Neodiprion lecontei: one gene and its partners. The protein of the gene in region 4 purifies or fractionates together with the protein of the main gene of each other region. This does not show direct contact. Links are inferred from orthologs where the notes say so. Each region holds a gene or a part of one and is shown on either strand. Other genes may lie near its edges. The genes, in order: 60S ribosomal protein L14, nucleolar GTP-binding protein 2, protein penguin and nucleoplasmin-like protein.

Region 1 (3,880 bases), on a different chromosome or scaffold from region 4:
TTCCCACCGGATTAGGGCTTCTCGAAGAGGTTTATAAAGTTGGCGACGACTGGGATTATACCAAGTACAAACTCTAGAATCTAGTTGAGATCTTTCTTCTGTACTAAGCAGACTCCAGCTCAAGAACAACTGCTTCAATCGTGGCACTACCAAACGGGTATAATATAAATGTGTAATAGGAGTTACATACATGATTAATCATGGGATGCCATACCCTCAGGTATCAACATAAATATTGCATCACAGATTTGTTCAAATACAACTTTATCCATCTTCTTTGCCATAAGAGGCTCACCGTTTTCAGTAGAAGTGGATTTTGACTGCATTTTACATGTTACCTATAAAGATTTCTCTTGATTATACAGAAACAAACGACTATAGAAAAAAGCAATGAGGAATGAAAAGGCAACTGCTAAGTTAATAGAATGCAGACTGTATTCACACATTTAATTAGCCAACTGCGACGTTTTTGAAAACCTGATTCAAAGGGATATTTAATCTCCGGAATAATTAAACAGGTAATACTTTTTATGGTATGGATTTATTTCGAAAGGTTGTACAATTATTTCTTTTCGGGCTTCTTGGCTGCAGGCTTCTTTGCGCCAGGTTTAGGTGCTGTAACGGCAGCCTTAGTTCCTTTCCTCGACTTTTTCTTAATCTTCAAGAACGCATGTGTCCTCAACTTATTTCTGACCTGTCTAGCTTTGCGCAGCTTGAATCGGTCAAAGTCACTGAGGGCAGCCCGCTGTGAAGTTATTATCAAATCATTTTAATTTGGAGAATTGGATTTGTGACAAAAGGATGATCAATTTTAAATCAAATCAGATAAATAATGGCTTCATTTATGTATCAGCCGGCAATTCCTATCAAGAATATAGGTTCATCATATAAATGATATAAGCATGCGAAGATTAAAAAAAAAACTTCCATACCTTTTTCTTGGCTTCTACTTTTTGTGCCCACATGGACTCGCTCCATTTCTCATCAATTTTTCCATCAGACCATGCCTTGCGTACAACACGAGTCGAGCCAGTGAACGGAAAACGTAGACGGAATTTCGTCAGGTGTAATTGGCTAAGGCGCATCTGACCACGGGGTATATTTGCAGCCGGTCCATCAACCAACACCTGGAAATACAAGATTAAATTCAGATCCAACCATTCCCACATAACAATATTGTTTGGTGGATCAGAATGTTTTCAGAAAATTGTGATATCTTCAATTATGTATCAGCCGGCAATTCCTATCAAGAATTTGGGATCATCATTAAGAATGTTGACCAGACAAAGCTTTAGAATGAGAACATCTTGATTTTGAAAGATACTATTCATAAATATTAGTTGAAATTCTTTCAATCAAGCAACCGGTTTCTTGCTTTCAATGTAACCTCGGTTCTTATCACCAATAATAAAAATTTAATTATAAATTAGAGAATCTTACCCTGTTTTGATCAATTATGTCAACAATTGTGACAAGTTTGCCTTCATGGGGCCCATCGCTGACATAGGCGACGCGGCCCGTTTCAACGAACCTCTTGAACGGCTGCAAATAACAATGAATGGTAAATAAGACTAAGAATTGTGCGAGAACATGTGAAACGGTTACACAGAGTAGAAGCTTCAATCGAGAAATTTCTGGCGCGAATTGGGCTAATTGGGTTGGGACTAATCGAGACTTTTGAACCGGTCCCAAACTATCGTTGAGATCGTTTGGATTCGCTGATAAACTTGTATGAAATAGTGGCGTGTGCCATGTGGCTGGTGATGAGCCGCATTGTAAAAAGGTTGTATTCCCATCAAATAACTGTTCTCCTCTTACACTCCGTCCACATATTCATTTTCACAGTTTACCCGATTACGTTCGTGTTACAATAATATGGAAATTAAATAATATTTAATACTTTTAACGAGAAATCTGACGTTATAACAAGAGCCACAGCATGCTTACCATGGTTAACCGGAAGCGAAAGACCTGAAAAACTGAAATGGGAACTTGCCGGACATTCGCCCAAAGAAAAGTAGTCAAGCTTACGACTGTGTAATCCACACGATTACTGAATCCCGCAACCTCTCGGAAAGGTAAATATAGGAGAAATCATTTCAACTTCGTTTTTATAGAATTTATCCGCATTAAGTTAGCATTAATCGCTAATTAGAATAATAAAAAAAAAAAACATCCTGACAAGTAGTCGGCGGGAAAGTTGGTACGTTAAGCGCCAGATAGCGCTAGTAGAGCTCAAGTGGGGCCGAAGTTAATTTCAATGACAAGGCTTCAAATCTGATCATCGATTAGCTTATGACGTTTATAGATGATTTGTTTATATATGGCAGCGATAGTTTACGGTGAAACATTTTACGAGGTAGTGAGCATATTATATTCAACGATATTCTCCGATTAGCAAATATGGTAATGTCAAATATTCAGTAACAATCTTAATAAATATTATAAGTCTGTTGCATGTTTTCGACGCTTGTGTATAAAATGGAAAATCATTACATACCGCTCAGCTACTGGGTTAGGCAATGCATAATTTTGATAAATGGTAAATCATGAAAATGAAAATTTATTCATAGATACTATCTAGAGCCAAGCCTGTGGTTACGGATGGCACCAAGAAAAGCACCTCGAGAAAGGAGATCCCTAAGTTGGAGGATTTCCTTGAAAAGCGAGACTATACAGGAGCGTTGACGTTGTTGGAGTATAATGGAAATGATCAAAATTCAATAAACACAGATTTATGGATTGGTTACTGTGCCTTTCACCTCGGTGATTATAAAAGAGCTGCAAAAGTATATGAAAACATGAGAAAGAAAGGGAATACTTCTGTAGATCTCGCTACAAATTTGGCATGTTGTTATTTTTACCTTGGTATGTACCCGGAAGCGTTAAACGTTGTAGAAGAATCTCCTGACAGCCGTTTGAAAATCAGGATTCTTTTTCATCTGTCTCACAAAATGGGTGACGAGAAAAAACTCATGGAATACCACCAAATGCTGGAGGATGTTATTGAGGATCAACTGTGTCTCGCTTCTATCCATTATCTCAGGGCTCACTATCAGGAGGCTATTGATATATACAAGAAAATATTACTGGAAAACAGGTTCGTTTTCAAATAACGAAAATATTCACATCACACAATTAAAAACTGAAGCTTACAATTAGCAAAGAAGCGTACTTCACTAATCAAGCATCGCCAGAGTGCTTTTAAAATTAGGTTAAAAGAAACGAGTCACTTATTTATTCTAGCAAACCAATTAATTTAAAAAACAAATCCTCGATAAGTGGCAAAGATTCCGAAGTATACTTGATAGCTGAACTCCTAAAGAATACCAGGTATCCTATCCATATTCCCACTATCCTTACGTCCCGCATTTGAACCTTTGATTTCCTTGCAAATCTCAAAAATCAATAGCTTTGCAAAATGAAATGACTAATGTGTTTTTACTGATGTTTTCATTAGGGACTACTTAGCTTTAAACGTCTATGTAGCTCTGTGCTACTACAAGCTGGACTATTACGACGTCGCTCAAGAAGTTCTTCAAGTTTATTTGCAAAAGCATCCAGACAGCGCAATTGCCATCAACCTGAAAGCTTGCAATCATTTCAGATTGTACAATGGCAGTGCTGCTCAGGCGGAGATGAAACAACTTATGGAACAAACATCAAGCTCGTTCAGCTTTGGGCATGATCTAATACGACATAATATAGTAGTACGTATTTAATGAAAGTGAAAGAGTAAAATTTTCAAAAATTCTACTTCTTAATTATCTCATTTCTGCATCGTTTCAGGTATTCAGAGGTGGCGAAGGTGCTCTTCAAGTATTACCTAGCTTGGTAGATGTGATACCAGAAGCTAGATTAAATCTCGTCATTTATTACT
Region 2 (4,963 bases), on a different chromosome or scaffold from region 4:
ACCCTTGTATGCCTCGCGACCGGCCGCTAATTAGTATGAAAAATACGTAAACCCGGTGAATCTTCACACACGGGCTTGATTTGTCACCTGAGTCACGTATCAGTCGCGTATCACCACCACAACCGCCTCTCCCCCACTTTCGCATCTGGTATATTTGTCCCGCCCTTCGCCTTATTTGGTTGGATCATGAACTATGTGATTAAGAATACGTGAATGTAGACTTGGAAAACTACCGAAGTCTGGTGGCAACTCCTAGTACTAGAATACGCGTTAAAGCAGAGATGAGTAGGTCTCTGGTTAAAGGTTCTTTTTTGAATTTCAAAAAGACTGGCAAGCTAGTGCAGCATATGCAGTTGAGTTTCTCCAAAGCGTGAGATGCAATGAGATGAAATTTCGACAGTAGTTTTGTCATCGACTGAAGATATGGTAAATCCGTTGACTTGTATCTTCAGTCAACTCTTTAGCATTATGCAATTGTAAATGGGTGAAAATTACTAGAGAATTGAGTATTTACACTTTTTATTCGGTAAGGATTAGGGAAACAACGTTGGCGTGGCAAACGTATTATTACCCGGGCAATAGGTCAAACTGTAGCAGATAACAAAGTGCTGGGTTTATCTTGTCTTCGGAACTTTTCTGTTTCTATTTCTGTTCTTTACATTAGTAACTTCATAGAAATCGCTTCCTATTTTCTTTCTCTTATTTGATCTCTCCATAGCTCTTCTTTGCTTACTAGTTAATTTCTTTTCATTTGGATCTGTTTTTTCTTTTTTCCTTGGTTCGTCAGAGACGCTGAATGTACCGCTGCTGGAGGTTGTTTTAATCTCTCTAACTTCACTATCACTAGAATCGTATTCTTCTTCTACAACATCGAAGGCACTTTGCATCAAGCTATCTTTCTCAGGTCCAAAAAACGTCTCATCATCCTTTAATGAATCATTCTCTTCTTCAGCATTTGCTGTTGTTTTGTATTTCTTACTTCCAGACTTTTTCAGGTCATTTCTCTCTTGGTGTAACAACTCTCCTTCACCATTATCTTCTTTTTCTTCTTCATCTGCTTCTTCTTCTTCAGATTCACTAGGCGGCTGAGAGTCATCTGCAGACACAGCTGAACTTGTATTATTATCCTTATCATCGTTCTGAATAGTTCCGGTTTCATCAGCAAAAACATCTCTGTTGTCTTCACTTGAGAATGTCAAACCAATTCTGATCTTCCTGTAATCTTGGACAACATTAAGTGACAATTTGACAGGTTCTTTCACTGCCTCATTCTCAGTTTCCTCATTTTTATCCGAAGTAATATCTTCGTTTATTTCATTCGATACTTCAGCAACAGTCTCCTCTTCCGTTGCCTTCTTAGGTAATGGATTTTCAAATCCCACAGGTGGGACAAAGAAAGGAAGCTTTCCGCGTTGCCAGTCGTTAAGAACCATTCGTGCTGCTATTGCTACGTCAGGTTCTCCGCCTTTTAATAGTTTGCCAGTCCGACGTGCTAGTTTTTCCAAGAAGTCTATGTGGTCTGACCATTCGTCGAGTTTGTAAGTCTTACGCATATATTCAGGTTTCACTCGTTCCAATACATGCGATATGTAGTCTTCAGGGTTAGTAATGAGTTCAACCCTAACAACGCCTTTCAGAACTTTTTCCGTATCTGTTTCGGCAGACGGATAAACAACGCCAGGACAATCGATGAGATATATGCGCCGCATCAGGGTAATGTATTGCCATACCTTGGTTTCTCCGGCAATCGGTGCAACTTTGCAGACTTTTTTAGATCTCAGAGTATTTATGATAGAACTTTTGCCTGTATTTGGGTAACCTATAAAGCCGACGCTAATTTGTTTCTTATCTCCATGCAGCTTTGCAAACTGACGTAGGAGATTAATCAACGAACCCTTTCCAAACGGATGAGTCAACGAGGCATGAAAAGCAAGGGTCGGATGTTCAGCACTTAATATTGCAACCCATCTCTGTGTGACCCAAGTTGGTACCAAGTCGACCTTGTTCAATATGAAAATTAAATGTTTATGGGTCTTTTCAGTTTTTAGATATTTTTCTACAGGTGGAGATCGAGTTCCCATTGGATCTCTGGCATCCAAAACTTGAATAACAACATCTGATGAGTCGATTACTTTATACAGTTCATTCCAAATTCTTCTACTTTGTCCTGCAGCCATAACCCAGTCTCTCTGTACATCTCGTGTCCCATCATCCGGTCTGATCAAATCATGATCTTTAGTGTCTTTCTCAGAGTTATATTTTTCCTCCTTCTCCTTAACGTGAGCCTGCATATCATCGTAGGTTGTAATGGGCAAATTAGGTCGCTTCCTAATTTTCTTCGGTCCAAACACATTTTGGAAACTCTCTGTATCGAGCAGATGTACCCTGGCATTAGCAGCTTTTTGTTGTAGTAAAGTAACGGGCAATCTGGTCTGTTTCATCACAACCTGATAAGGATCTTTCATAGCTGTTCCTAATGCACTTTGAAACTGTTGAAGAGCATTCTGAGAAACGACACGTGAATTTCCAAACCACCTTTGACTGGGCTCGACTCGAGAAACCGTACCAGATGCATGCCATCCTTGAAATGGAGCTGGACTTATAATTTTACCAACTCTATTACGCTTTGGTTTCGAATTACGATACATTTGCAGCCTTTTAATTGTCGCCTTCGTTCGAGGCTTCGCTACACCTTTGAGCCCTTCGGTCGATCTTTCAGGATTCATACTGTGCCCCGATCTGTTGAATCCCTCCTTCCGTGGAGCCTTACTAGCAGAATGTGATTTCACCATTTTTTCTGAAAACATCATACCAAGAATAAAATAAATTTAGTAGTTATTAGTATGGATGAAAAAGTTGTTGGTAGGTTATGTCAAATAACGTTAAATAATAATGTAGCTTTTTCTCCAGTATAAACAGATTTTCAGAACGAAGTATTTCACAGCTAGTTCTGCGACATTCATATTACACGTGTTGTTGGGAACGTTAATAGATATTACAAACAAATTTTATAATTGACGTTAAAAACACGTGTTAATCAACTTAACCTCAAAACTGCATAATGCCCATACGCAAGGCGTTTGGACACCAATCGATTATTACTGCCCACATGAAATTGTTCAAGTTAATAAATACCTGATTTACGTATTAGGTTCCTGGATTACAAAATATAGGAGCACCAAGTGCTACGACGAAGATAATATTTCCACCCTCAACCGCTACATGTAAGGTTAATGTTACTTATGAATCTTTGATATTCGTCCACAGCTGCCGTCTGGCGGCCAGTGCTTGCTGCACGTGCCATCAGCAACACAGCAAATCCGTGTAGCGGTGGCTAAGATACGCAATTATGCTGATACACTACGCATCCACACACGCATAAAATTATCGACATCTTATAAGGATTGATACTATTTTGTTGCAGCAAACGTTGACTAAAAGTATGTTAACGCCGTTTGGAATCAATGCATTTTCTTAAATTATCTTCAACGAGAAATTGAGTTCATAAATTTTTTTTAGGTAGCGAAAAATACCTAAAAAAAATATATTATTATCTAGGCATCAGAGTTTACAAACAGTGTGACTGAAACGAAGTATTTTTCCCTTAGCATCAAGTTTAACGTAGACATAATACATGGAAAAATATATTGCAGTATAAACGAAAAAATTAAAATGCTCCAATTTTTAATTGCAGACGGATTTAATTAATCTTGTAATGATAGGACAACGTCTGTGTCTTCCACAAAGACTTGTAAGTTGAGGTTCGCTGATTTTCAGTTTTACTAATAGTTTATTTATATTCGTAGAATTTAAATTGAAGCAACTGAATTCATCCCAAACAATCTTAATGAGAAGATTCCAAGAGATTCAGATTAAGGAGGTTCTCATAAGCTCTTCCTTTGATGGATTATTATTTCAACAGAAAGGAAAATCTAAAGGACATGCTAGATTTAAAAAAAACCTACCTATTCTCTACTGCTCAAAGGCAAACATCCTGAGCAATTACAGGAACCCACAGGGCGATCATAAATTATAGTTATCACTGCCATTCTGTCCTGCGCAAACATAATTTGTCAGTGGCTTATACCTTGTAGAATAGAAAACCTATAGGGACTCTGCTACCAGCTATTCACTACAGCTCAAAAGTAAATATCGTGAGCAATTATAGGAACTTACAAGCTGGTCAAATAATAGTTATAAAAGAAAATGGATAAATATAAGCTGTGTTGGTTTCGGAAATAAAATAATTTATGACTTCGGACGTGTTTCTTTCCCTGTTGTTGCGTCGTATAAAAAATTGTATTCACCACCGTGATGCTAATTTAATTTACTCACAATTAGAAATTTTTTCAGCGCATTGGAGAGGAATAATAATGGTCATTCAATCCGGAAGTCTGTATACTCGTGCTGTATACATCGATATAAATCACCACCAGTAATCACTCACAAAAATACATATGCAGCAACTCGTCTTTTACTATGAATACGGTACTATACGGTAAAATACAACTCCATTGTTTCCTAATTATTGGAGTCAAGGTATAAGAGGAGAATTAATGGATACTCTGGAAGTTATTTTTTTCAAATTGGTATCAGTCAAATGCTAGAAAATGATTAAACCGATGATTGAAAATGTAAGGTATATCCACATATCGTTTCGGAACGAGGAATCCGACGAATTACTTTCCCACGGCAGCAACGATACTATGTAAGAATCAACAGTAACAATTTGATCCACATTTTTGCGTTGCTGAATGAAACTGAACGCCTGGAACGCGTTCGAATAACTTTAACATTAAAAGTTTCTAGTTGGACTATTTGATACAGACACATCAATCATCATTTATGACATTAAGGTATCATCAATGATAACAATGGTATATTTTTCGTTCTTTAAAATGTCGATGCGGTTTCATAGCTGTAATTTTATATAGGTGCGTATGTACACTGAGACGCCCTTGAC
Region 3 (4,790 bases), on a different chromosome or scaffold from region 4:
GATTCCCATCTTATCGCTAGTGAACTTAGTAATATTGTTTTTCAACTGAAAAAGGTATTAAATTTTGCTACGGTTTAGAAACATCAGATAGGAATTGAAGTTTTAAATATATTTACTTATATGTATTATAAACTGGTATTAATATATGCCTATTCGTATAATTATACAATATTAACGTGGTGAAATCAAAACAAAACAAAATTTAAACTCTTATTTGTTTAGTTAATTTTCGAATAATTCCTCTAGATTTCATTATGCTAATTCTGTTGCCCTGCTCTAACATTCAAGCCAGTCTTTATAGCTAAAGTTTAATCAATTTTTAGCTAATTTTTAGTGAACTTGATAGAATGGTATCGTATAACGACGATGAATTCACATTTAATGAGTTATGCGTCATGGTTACCCTTAGAAAAGAATTATGTAACTTAGCCTACTTATTTATATTGCAGAAAATATTTAATAAATCAATTTCGAATCGAGTTTCATGTTAAACGATGTCTGTAATAAATAAAAAATAAAAAAACGATGTGAATCAAACATTATATTTATAAGATCTAATGTTGCTTACATCATTGCAAATAGTAGATTTGAAATAAACAACTAAAACAAAATAATGTACATTTTTTGAAACACACATTTGATGCTCTCAACACAGAGGCATTACTTGAGTTTTTTTAATAATATAGATGCTCCTGGTGTTTTTTTAGATTTTAAAGATTTTTGTAGAGGTTTCAGTTTAGTTAATACAATGTTGGCTGTGGTCTCACCACTATTTTCTATCAATGTTATGAGTAGAAAACAGCCTCTGTTGAATTCAATCCATTGTTTCATTACTTCTGGGTTCAATTTGTCAATCAATACCTCTCCGAAGGTAGACTTCTTGTTTTCAATAAGTATTTTATCATTCTGTATCAATTTTTTCAGCATCATGTGAAGCCCAGAAGATTCAATTACCTTCTGTTCCTTTTCATTTTCCATTATTACTGATTCTGGATCTGTTATATAATCTCTAATAGTTTCATGAGCATTTTTGAGCTTCTCTCCATCCCCTGCTTTCAATATTGCCAACGTAACCATTGATATTGAACTATTTGATAGCCATGTCGATACTTCTGTAGTAACAGTTTCTAACAACTTATCAATTACTGCGTCCAATAGCTCTTTTGCTCGTATTTCTGGTGGCTTTTTACTAGTTTCATTGGCATCACCTTTTTTAAGTTGTTCGATTACTTTCGGGTGAAAATAATGTGAATCCCTTCTAGCAACAAGATATAGAATTACGCATCTGCCATATTCATTTGACGCAATTTCTGTCAGATCATTCAGCAATTCTGTCAATATCATTTTCTTCACGAGAACTGTGTCGTCAATGCAGTCAAACAAAGCTAATAACACCATATGACCATGCTCGTTTGTCGCCACATTCTTGACTTGATCTTTCAATGCCTTCATCGCAAGTTTTCTGTCTTTCTTTGTACCATGCCACAAACAAATCATTGCAGACTTAGCACCATCCTTTGTCTGAGATAATTCTGCAATCAAACTTCGGACCATAGTGATCATTTCATCTCTATCATCTTTGGTGCAATTCCTTAAGAATTCAAGCAACACAGAATGTACAAGGGAGGTGTTAATCAGCTTCTTATTTAGTATTTTTATCAAATTTCCTTTGACAGCTGAGAGAGTTGCAGATTTCATATCTCCTGCAAGCTTATAGACATCAGCAAGTGTTTTGATTTGACTGTCCTTGGCTAGTTTGTACATATCACCATAAAATTCTTGTTTAAAATATAATTTATCTGCATCGGTCGCCCAAGATGAATATGCAAGTTCAAGTACTGGTGCAGATACTGAATGGCTTGCTAGCCTAACTATATTGCCACTACACGCCGCAATTATCATAGCTCGAATTTCATCTGTCCCATGCTTCAACAATGTTTTGACACAATTCTTGGCATACTTCGACTGTAACATTAGAACAATACTTTTCTGTAATTCATCAGTAACATTTTTTCTTATCTCAGAAGTGCAGTACTTGAGAAGCCATTGAACAATCCTTGCCATGTCATGCATGAAGACAAGTTTACTAAATTGTCCCTTGAGTAATTCGTATAGCTGCGTTGTGAGCTCTACACGCTCTTCTTTAGAACAATCTGCTCTGCGTAATTTTTCACCAATCTTCTTAGCTTTGACGGTAACATCATACGCATTCGTCAGTCTTTTTTCCCTTCGTTTTTCCCGCAGTTCTTTCTTCTGTTTTTTAAACTCTAACCAATCTGGTTTCTCAGTTGTGTCTGTGCTACCATTTATAGATTTGTATTGAACCTGAGTTTGTAGTCTTTTCTTCTTATTATTAATCTTGTCAAACAATTTCTGTGACTTGTCTGCCTTGGCAGGTTTCTTTGCAGCAGTTGGTTTTTGGAATTTACCTTTTTTCTCCAAAGCGTCATTTTTTTGTGAGATGTTCACCTTCTTTAGCTTCGCATCTGAACTTTTTATGATATTCACTTTGGCAGTAGGGTCGACAGCCGTTTTAGCTTTTTTAATTATCGGTTTAAGGCTCACTGCTTCCTTTTCCCGGCGTTTCATGATGACGATTTTTACCTGTAACTTGAAAAGAAAAATTGTACGTAAAATTTATCTAGCGTAACGTATTGTTTCTACCTTTCTGATGCTTCTGCAAGTATTTCAAACATTTCGAACAACGTGCGTGCAAAACATAACCTATTAAAGACGACACCGATTTATGAAAATTGAGTTTAAATTTTGGAAATACTTACTTCTCAGACTGAATTTCGAACAGCGTAAGCAAATCAGTAGTAATTATACTAAAGTCAGTGAATTATCGGATATTTATAAATTAATAAACCGCACCATAGAATCACTAAGCTAAGGTGTAAATTATTGCGCCAATGTACGATCACGTGGCGTGCACTTGGCTTTGCTTGGCTTTCTGAATTCTGGTAATAGGATTCACGAGGTAGCAGTTGCGTTGAGCTGCAGACACATTTCACGGTTAGTTACTTTCTGTCGCAGCGTGGCGCTGCGGCAATAAAATGACGCTAAATACTACCGCAAGGTTTCGCTACCCGTAAAAATGTACCCTACAGCGATGCGTGGCGCATGCAGAAAACTGTTTCCTTGGCAACTTTACGATCAGTCAACAGAGTTGTAAATCATGGCGGTAAGTGGAAATGCGTCGTAGATATTATGCATTTAAATTATTATTTTTCGCATAGAATTCGGCGAAAAGATTGATAAATTTGATATTTTCCTACTAGCTTATTGATTGAAGCTTACTCTGTAAATTCGTCTTTTCAAAAAACCTTCTTCTTCAAAACATAACCGTGTCGACATGCGGCGTTTGGCACGCGTGAACGGTAACCTACAAATTTGCGACGATCAACACAGTCTTCCGTCATTTCAATGTGATTCAATGCTAAATTTTATTGCAATCGTTTACTGCGGCATGTTTTAAAAATTGAAGATCACACTAACTATTCATTTGATCACATTTACCACTGACAATCCGTTGGTTGTTATTTTTTTATACTTAGATTAGACAACATTAAAGGTATCCAAGAACCAAATTCAGTAACAAAAAAAACTTTATTCCAGGCCGTCGCTGCAGCAAAGGTGCAAGAAGTTCGTGAGATCACTAGAATCGAGCGCATTGGCGCTCATTCTCACATTCGAGGTTTGGGACTGGATGACAGTTTAGAGCCGCGCAATGTAAGATTCACAATAATATATTATATTTGCAATGTATCCCAGCCTTGTATCAATAACTCGGAATTCAGCAAATATCATGTACAAATTTCGTTACAACAAAGATGAATTACTCGCAGGTTTCTCAAGGTATGGTGGGCCAGCTCATGGCTCGGAGAGCAGCAGGTGTTGTGCTCGAAATGATCAAGGATGGAAAGATCGCAGGACGAGCAATTTTGTTGGCTGGACAACCGGGCACTGGTAAAACTGCAATTGCGATGGGAATGGCCCAAGCTCTTGGTCTAGATACTCCGTTCACGTCAATGGCAGGCTCGGAGATTTATTCCTTAGAAATGGGTAAAACTGAAGCTTTAACTCAGGCGATACGAAAATCAATTGGAGTGAGAATCAAAGAGGAAACGGAAATTATCGAAGGGGAGGTAGTAGAGATTCAAGTTGACAGACCAGCTACCGGTGTTGGCGCTAAAGTAGGAAAGTTGACATTGAAAACAACCGAGATGGAAACCATTTACGATCTGGGCAATAAAATGATTGATAGCCTGATGAAGGAAAAGGTAAGTAAAGTGAAAACAGTTATAAATTATCGACAAAATTTAAATGAAAAATGTTTCCATTAAAGGTACAAGCTGGAGATGTTATAACGATTGATAAAGCCACTGGAAAAATTAACAGACTTGGCCGTTCGTTCACACGAGCTCGGGACTACGATGCGACGGGATCACAAACCCGTTTTGTTCAATGCCCAGAAGGAGAGCTCCAAAAACGAAAGGAAGTGGTACATACGGTTACTTTGCACGAAGTTGACGTTATTAACAGCAGAACTCACGGATTTTTGGCACTGTTTTCCGGAGATACGGGGGAAATAAAGTCTGAAGTACGGGATCAGATAAATGCTAAGGTTGCAGAATGGCGAGAAGAAGGAAAAGCTGAAATCGTACCTGGTGTTCTCTTCATTGATGAAGTACACATGCTGGATATCGAGTGCTTTTCATTCCTCAATAGAGCCCTTGAGAATGAAATGGCACCTGTCGTTATAATGGCCACTAATAGAGGTAGAGTTT
Region 4 (6,534 bases):
ACCATCTGCCAAAACCTGAGAAAATATTTCTAAGCCGCCGTGACTCAGTAGTGCTTTTTGTGCAGCTGGGTAGTTCCGGACCAGGGAACCCAGTGCATATATACATCGATCCATCAACTTCGAGGTGCCGTGTTTTGTCAACATGCGTAAAATGATTGGAACAAATTCCGACTCCAGTGCTATTTCCTTCACCTTCGGGTTTGACTGTACAGCTGCTCCGAGGACATGAAGGGCTTCACACTTGATCTCCTCTATTGTGCCATTGAGACAAGGGTGTATCACTTTCATCAGGCTGAAAATATTTACAATGTAAAGTGAAGACCGATTGTTATATGATACGAATTAATACTATAAGAATTGGCACAAGTAAAGTTTTCCTAGAAGGCAGATGAAGAGCGATGTATTAATTTCAGACTAGAAGCAACAGATTTGATGAATGGAAAATGAAAAACGTGAAAATGCTAAATTCTATTTCAAACAGTTCCATGCACAATTTCAAAAATTGTAAAATGTAGACTGTACGCACCCTCCGAATCTGGTGAATTCGAGCCCATTGTCAATGTCATGGACCAGGTATTCTAACTGACCCAATATATCCATGATGTCTTTGATCTCTTTGGCATCTAGTGATCCGGACGTAATTGCAGTTCGATGAGTATCAAACTGTTCAATGAAAATACCTAATAAATCAACGTCGGTTGACGGGCCAAAGTTTATGTTCTCATACTCCTTCTTCAGTTCATCAAAGCTCTGGAACCTGGCACGCTTTAGAAAAGAAAGGAAAATAAGATGTCAGTAATGTGGAAAATGCGACTATTTCCTGTTTGACATTAAGATAGATTTGAGCGACGAATTACTTTGGGTTTCCGTGCGAAAGGAGTCTTGTTAGACTTAATTTTTTTCAATTCGGTTTTTAATTCTTCCCCAGATATTTTCAAAGTCCTATCATCGTGCTGAATCTGTCCATCATTAATTTCCGAAGGTTTTAAATTCTCCGCGTCTGGATGTAGGGCTACGGATTTGCGCATTTCATCGTTATCCGAAATTTCTTTCTCGCTGGGTTCCATCAGTTTTGCTTCTGTAATGCCAGTTTGAAAATTATGCCGAACATGAAGACCTTTTGGGATTGGTGTGCCTGAAAATTATTAGCGTTCGTTAGGAAGCGCGGGATTCGTCGAATAATCGAGAAGCCTCAAACCCCGAAAAAGCTTTCAAAATGTGAAATATAACGGCGTATCGAATCTTATCGCACCGTGTAAAGTGGGGAATTTAATAGGGCGAATGATCTATGAGCCATATGCCGATCTCTCGTTGGTAAACGATCAATTTATGCAATCGCACGAGGCCTGTGTACTTGACTGACGTTGTAAGCACACGTCAAGTGCGAGAAAAGTAGTCCCGTTTCTCGACCTACCCTTTTCAACGACTTGCCATTCTTTGGTGGGTATAAATACACTGTCATTTTTCGATCCTTTCTCCGAAGCTACGATATCGTTGATCCAGAGATACGAGACTATGATAAACAAGCATAGATCGCACACGTAACGCATTTTCCAAGAGAACGTGTCGAATAGGCGCTGTGAGCAGGTGCCGGATTTCTTCTAGAATATACGGTTACTCATATAGGAATTAAATATCCGTTCTAAGCGACACGAGAACCCGTTAATAATATTTACAAGGGTTTTTCAATACCACGCACTCGCGCTGTCACGTTTTACAAACCGTTTGCCTATTGTTGAGAAAATTTATCTTATTAATGCAGTCGTTTTGCAAAACCTAGTTCGTCACTTCTGTCGCCAGGTGCCGTCTCGAGACCAATAGCGCGTCGGAATGACCGCAGAAGTTTGGAGGCAGGACCCAATCAGAAGGTGGAACGTACTCTAGGCGCGCAAGCCGAGGGACGCGAAACTCATTTGCTGCGAGATCGTCAAACACGTGTGACCATTCCGAGTCTCTACCCAGTTACGCGGCGTCCCTCGGCTTCAGACCCGCAACTCAAAACGTTTGAATCTGTGTATATCTAATCGATCGCCATGGCTGAGGAATATTTATACGGTAAATATTATACTCTAAGACTTAACGGATATGCTGATTTATTTATTTTCCATAAATAGCGAATACTTTCGATACATACCGTTGTTTTAACACCGTTGTATGCCTACGTGTGGACGCCGGCAGAATATCGGCCATTATGCAGGCGAATCCATTGTCTTTGTACAAAAATCTTGGTTATTATACCATTCATTATTTCTCTCATCGTCGATGTGCCACAGAATGATTATTATGTCGATTTAAATTATGCGTAAACTACATTCTTCAAGTCTTGCGTCAATTTGTATGCAGGAATCACTTTGCAAGGACCCAATGCCACCGAGGTCTGGGATCCTGAGCACAAAAACGAGGACGTTGACGGTGCTAATCAACATTTTGGCGCTGACCAAAAACTCATTATCAAAATGGTGAGTTGAAATTGTCAATCTGGTAATCAAGTATCTAATTTTTTACACTTCATCAGCTACTGTTTGATTCATTTTGTGTTACCCATCTTTAGCGCCATTGTCGCCGTGCGTACGCAATTTTGCCGATTCACATTCTCAACCTTTATAACACGCAAAATTTGATCCTAGAACAAACCAGAAATAAAAATTTATAAATAACACGTCAGTGTGTCAACAATCGATGATTTTTGTCCTTGAAAATTGTTATCGCTGTTTTTAACGCATTTTGGCGCCATTTGCATTCATCTTCTAAATTATTGTCATTCGAAAAAACTCTGAAATATCCAATTCATTGCTATTGTATACCTATTTGTTTCTGATAAGTTGCATCAATATAATAAGTATAGTCATCCCAAAAAGAAAATCTGTACTTAAATTTTGACAAGCTAATTGATTGTTTAATCGTTGCAAGTTGTAAGATCAACATCTATAATGTAAATTATTTAAGCTTGAGTCGACATTAACTAGCTGCTGTTTTTATTTAAAAAATTATGAATGACGAGCGATCAAGAATAAACAGTAACACGTTTCAATTTCTGATAAAAAGTATGTCAGCCTTGAGGCAAGCTTTGAAAGTACTGTTTATTTAATATTAATAGTTCATCAGTTTATTGCAACACTAACATTTAGCTTACGAATATGGTCAATATAATCCGATGAGGTTCATTATCTATATCTTTTTTTTGTGACTTCAGGCACTTCTGGGACCTGAGGCCAAAGCTGGCGAGTTAAACGTACTACAAGTTGAGGCGATGGGACTCAAAGGTCCAATTAAAATCCCAATTGCCTTATTGGAACTGGGCAAAACTGCACAAATCATCCTCGATCTAAGTTTCCCTGATCCACCCGTCACATTCACCTTAATCAAAGGCAGCGGTCCAGTCCATATAGTAGGACACAATCTCCTTGGTAAGTTTCATTTTGTTTCGTAGATTAATCTTCCTTCACTCCTGATATATTTGGACTAATAACACTTGCAACATCACTACCAGCTGTGTCAGCGATGCACGCTCAAGGTTTGCGAGACACCATTTGGCCGCAATCTTTTATAGACTATCGTATTTAATGAGAAAATGTTTCATTTTAATGAACTGATGCTAGTGACCAGAGTCAATGGCGACGAATAGTAATTATGCTGAAAAATTTGGAAATGAAGCCTAGCAATTGAAATTTCACTGAATCTCATGAATATTTAGTACTTTCATAGAATCATCGGATCTGAAATTTATGTATGATTATCTTTAAAAAAAAGTTTACTACATCGGCTGCTGACTGAAGTCACTAAATTCAGCTTCATCTCATTTTAGTGATCAAAAAACTATGATTACAGTTTTATTTGCACTGTATTGTATAAGAATATATTGTGTGAATATATCATGCATTAATAAACTCGATTATTCGTTACAGGGACGCATATGGATGAATTTGAAGACATGGAGGACGAAATGGAGGAAGAAAACATCGATGACGAAGATGATGAGAAGGTGAATATAAATCTAAAATTTTACAGCTTTTAGCCAGGGTTTTTCAATTAAAAATTGTCAATTTTGAAAATAAATAACCCATTCGTAATTACAATTGATTCAGACCATTGGTTATTGTGCAAAAGCAAATTAAGCGTATTGTAAACAAAAATTCTGAAATTGGATTTGTGTTAGCAATACGTTATCTTAACAATCGGTACAAAACTGAAGGAGTATGGTTAGAAGTTAGGAGACCATCATACGTTATGTGAATGGGAATTAATATTTCAGGCCTCGCATAAGAAACGGAAACTTTCTGGCGAGGGTAAAAAAAATGGCACCAAACGCGCCAAGATGGATGAGGAGGTAGACAAGGAGAACTATCGAAAATAGCATGCTTGGTCCTAGCAATAAGTTTTACATATCTTACGTTAAATACAGACTATACATTTCAAACATCAATTAAATTCGTTTTAATCATCAACTCTTCATTTCACCAGACTAGAGTGATGATAATGGTAACTTTGAAACGTACAGATGTACTTGTCTATGTTACATCAAAATAATTTAAGTTTTAATTTTTTTGAAAAATAAACAACGTCTTTGGAATAATTGTTTTTAGATTTTGCATTTTATTTCACTACCTACCATCTTGGCAGTGTGCAATATAATGGGCCTACTCTAAATGTTGTCTATACATCTTTGACTACTTTCCGGTCATTGTAATATTAAATTTTGTTTCTCAGGGTTTTATGATACATAATTTTGATCACAGATTAGGTTTTATAATTTTTTCTTTTACGACTACGAGTTTTGTTACTCGACGGTAAAAATAATATAACTATTAATTTATAAAATAATGAATTGTTATTTGAGTAGTTAAGACTGATCGGTCTGGATTTATGACACTATTGTCTCTACACTAGATTGAATTATTAGAACAGAATGCGTAATCGGAATCTGCTCTCATTAATTTCTTTGATGTTTTTGATTTAGGACCCTGAGGATGAAGAAGACGAAGAAGAAGAGCCCAAAAAGAAGAATGCGAAATTAGCGACCCCAGCTAAAAACAAAAATCAAGCTAACAAGAATAAGAAAAAATAAATCCGTGGTTTTATTACCAACACATCCTAGGCTAGGCTCTTGAATGTAAGTTCATCATCATTCGCGTTTTGCGTGTTACAGTATCGTTTCATCTGATAGTCAAAAGAGACCATTCATTATCCATTCACGGATTCTAAAATCTTGAGGCTGGGTTGTGTACATTTTTTTCATGATAACAATTGTTCTTCAATCGAAAGCAACGAAGAAGCAAAAGCAAAGAGAAAAAGATCACAGATATTAGGCACACAATCTGTTACCTTACTGAATTAATGCGTTACTTGAAGATTTCCAGACTAATTTTGTGTAAAAATACCTATAAGATGAATATGTATTTTATTCTAGCGACTATAAAAGGGTCGCGGAGCCATGACAAGGTCATCAGTGAGAACACATTTTCGAGGAATAAGTCTATATAGAAGGCAATGCAAGTTCGACTCTTCAGTATTTAACGCTTCTGCGTCTCCCTGAACATCGGAATAGCAATCTACAGCTCAGATTTGAAAGTTCGTGAATCCGAATGCTAGACAAATGATAGACTGACAGACAGACGGAGACAGATTGACGCATGTTTTAATCCTACTCTTCCGCAGCTCGACTTCCAGTCAGAAAACACAAAGCTATATTATAACACCACTTGATAATCATATTTACTTCTTATAAAGATCATGACGGAATTTTTATCCCACTGATCTAGTATATTTATTTTGAACTAAACGAGGTCTTTGATTAATTTTATGACCATTAGAAGGAGTTAAAACAGAACATTGTCATCTCTCGATATTCATTCCATTTGAAGAAAAGTAATAGCCGGCGTACAGACAGACACTATATGCACGGCGCACCGTTCTTATTTAACATGTGTTATACACAGTGTTTTCCACTTACGTGCCCATACGTCTGTATACTCTTTTGTACATATACGATACAATAAAAATTTCACTTAACTTTTACTTAATATTAATTTATTATGTAAATTTGTACAGTGCGTGACTAGACTTAGAAAACACTTTCTTGTTTGAAAAATTTTATGTCAAACCTCCCATTATCCGCGCGAGGTCTAATTTTCAAGAAAATATGAAGTGGTGTGGGTAGTTAACACTTTGAACCACGGCCTTGAACAGTTGGAGCCAGGTAAAAATCAGTGGGATCATAGTAACGATCGGTTGTTTGATATTCTATAGTTATAGTCATATTAATAATTTGTACTACTTTTACTCTTGAAATATTTGATATTTTGTAAATATATTCGAAGGAATAATTATGCTGGGATGAAGTTGGTGTGGTTGGAATTTTATAGTCGTAGGTCTTCTGGCCTGCCATTTTACGACCTCGATGAAGAAAACATTTTCAAATACGGGATTACTTCCACGAAAATTTCTAAGGTTGGTTTATGACTGTCACATGTCTTGCTCAGAGTTGATAGGTTGACAGTTAAATGGCAGGAGTTATCACTGTGGGAAAAATAATAG

The links.
Region 1: the proteins of nucleoplasmin-like protein (region 4) and 60S ribosomal protein L14 purify together in Homo sapiens (affinity purification with mass spectrometry; 3 studies listed by BioGRID and IntAct, with this or other methods). This does not show direct contact. The link is inferred for Neodiprion lecontei from reciprocal best matches to the Homo sapiens genes NPM1 and RPL14.
Region 2: the proteins of nucleoplasmin-like protein (region 4) and nucleolar GTP-binding protein 2 purify together in Homo sapiens (affinity purification with mass spectrometry; 3 studies listed by BioGRID and IntAct, counting the BioPlex papers as one, with this or other methods). This does not show direct contact. The link is inferred for Neodiprion lecontei from reciprocal best matches to the Homo sapiens genes NPM1 and GNL2.
Region 3: the proteins of nucleoplasmin-like protein (region 4) and protein penguin purify together in Homo sapiens (affinity purification with mass spectrometry; 3 studies listed by BioGRID and IntAct, counting the BioPlex papers as one, with this or other methods). This does not show direct contact. The link is inferred for Neodiprion lecontei from reciprocal best matches to the Homo sapiens genes NPM1 and PUM3.

What each region holds. Positions count from the first base shown.
Region 1 is NC_060261.1:38,009,689-38,013,568, reverse strand, and holds 60S ribosomal protein L14, read right to left. Parts: upstream 1,999-3,880; 5' UTR 1,951-1,998; coding exon 1,948-1,950; intron 1,543-1,947; coding exon 1,441-1,542; intron 1,128-1,440; coding exon 933-1,127; intron 746-932; coding exon 563-745; 3' UTR 523-562; downstream 1-522. Other genes in the region: uncharacterized protein LOC107216589, read right to left, coding at 1-146, 215-326; intraflagellar transport protein 56, read left to right, coding at 2,404-2,406, 2,574-3,100, 3,461-3,710, 3,790-3,880.
Region 2 is NC_060265.1:21,566,114-21,571,076, reverse strand, and holds nucleolar GTP-binding protein 2, read right to left. Parts: upstream 3,296-4,963; 5' UTR 3,136-3,295; intron 2,798-3,135; 5' UTR 2,793-2,797; coding exon 615-2,792; 3' UTR 503-614; downstream 1-502. UniProt on the Homo sapiens protein: GTPase that associates with pre-60S ribosomal subunits in the nucleolus and is required for their nuclear export and maturation.
Region 3 is NC_060263.1:34,674,020-34,678,809, forward strand, and holds protein penguin, read right to left. Parts: upstream 3,007-4,790; 5' UTR 2,781-3,006; intron 2,611-2,780; 5' UTR 2,590-2,610; coding exon 661-2,589; 3' UTR 529-660; downstream 1-528. Other genes in the region: ruvB-like 2, read left to right, coding at 3,179-3,184, 3,619-3,732, 3,849-4,283, 4,349-4,781. UniProt on the Homo sapiens protein: Inhibits the poly(ADP-ribosyl)ation activity of PARP1 and the degradation of PARP1 by CASP3 following genotoxic stress. Binds to double-stranded RNA or DNA without sequence specificity. Involved in development of the eye and of primordial germ cells.
Region 4 is NC_060260.1:25,712,132-25,718,665, reverse strand, and holds nucleoplasmin-like protein, read left to right. Parts: upstream 1-1,851; 5' UTR 1,852-2,033; coding exon 2,034-2,055; intron 2,056-2,343; coding exon 2,344-2,459; intron 2,460-3,193; coding exon 3,194-3,407; intron 3,408-3,905; coding exon 3,906-3,982; intron 3,983-4,252; coding exon 4,253-4,327; coding exon of another isoform or gene 4,328-4,354; exon of another isoform or gene 4,355-4,573; intron 4,574-4,957; coding exon 4,958-5,065; 3' UTR 5,066-6,015; downstream 6,016-6,534. Other genes in the region: nucleotide exchange factor Sil1, read right to left, coding at 1-292, 527-765, 858-1,135, 1,415-1,550. UniProt on the Homo sapiens protein: Involved in diverse cellular processes such as ribosome biogenesis, centrosome duplication, protein chaperoning, histone assembly, cell proliferation, and regulation of tumor suppressors p53/TP53 and ARF.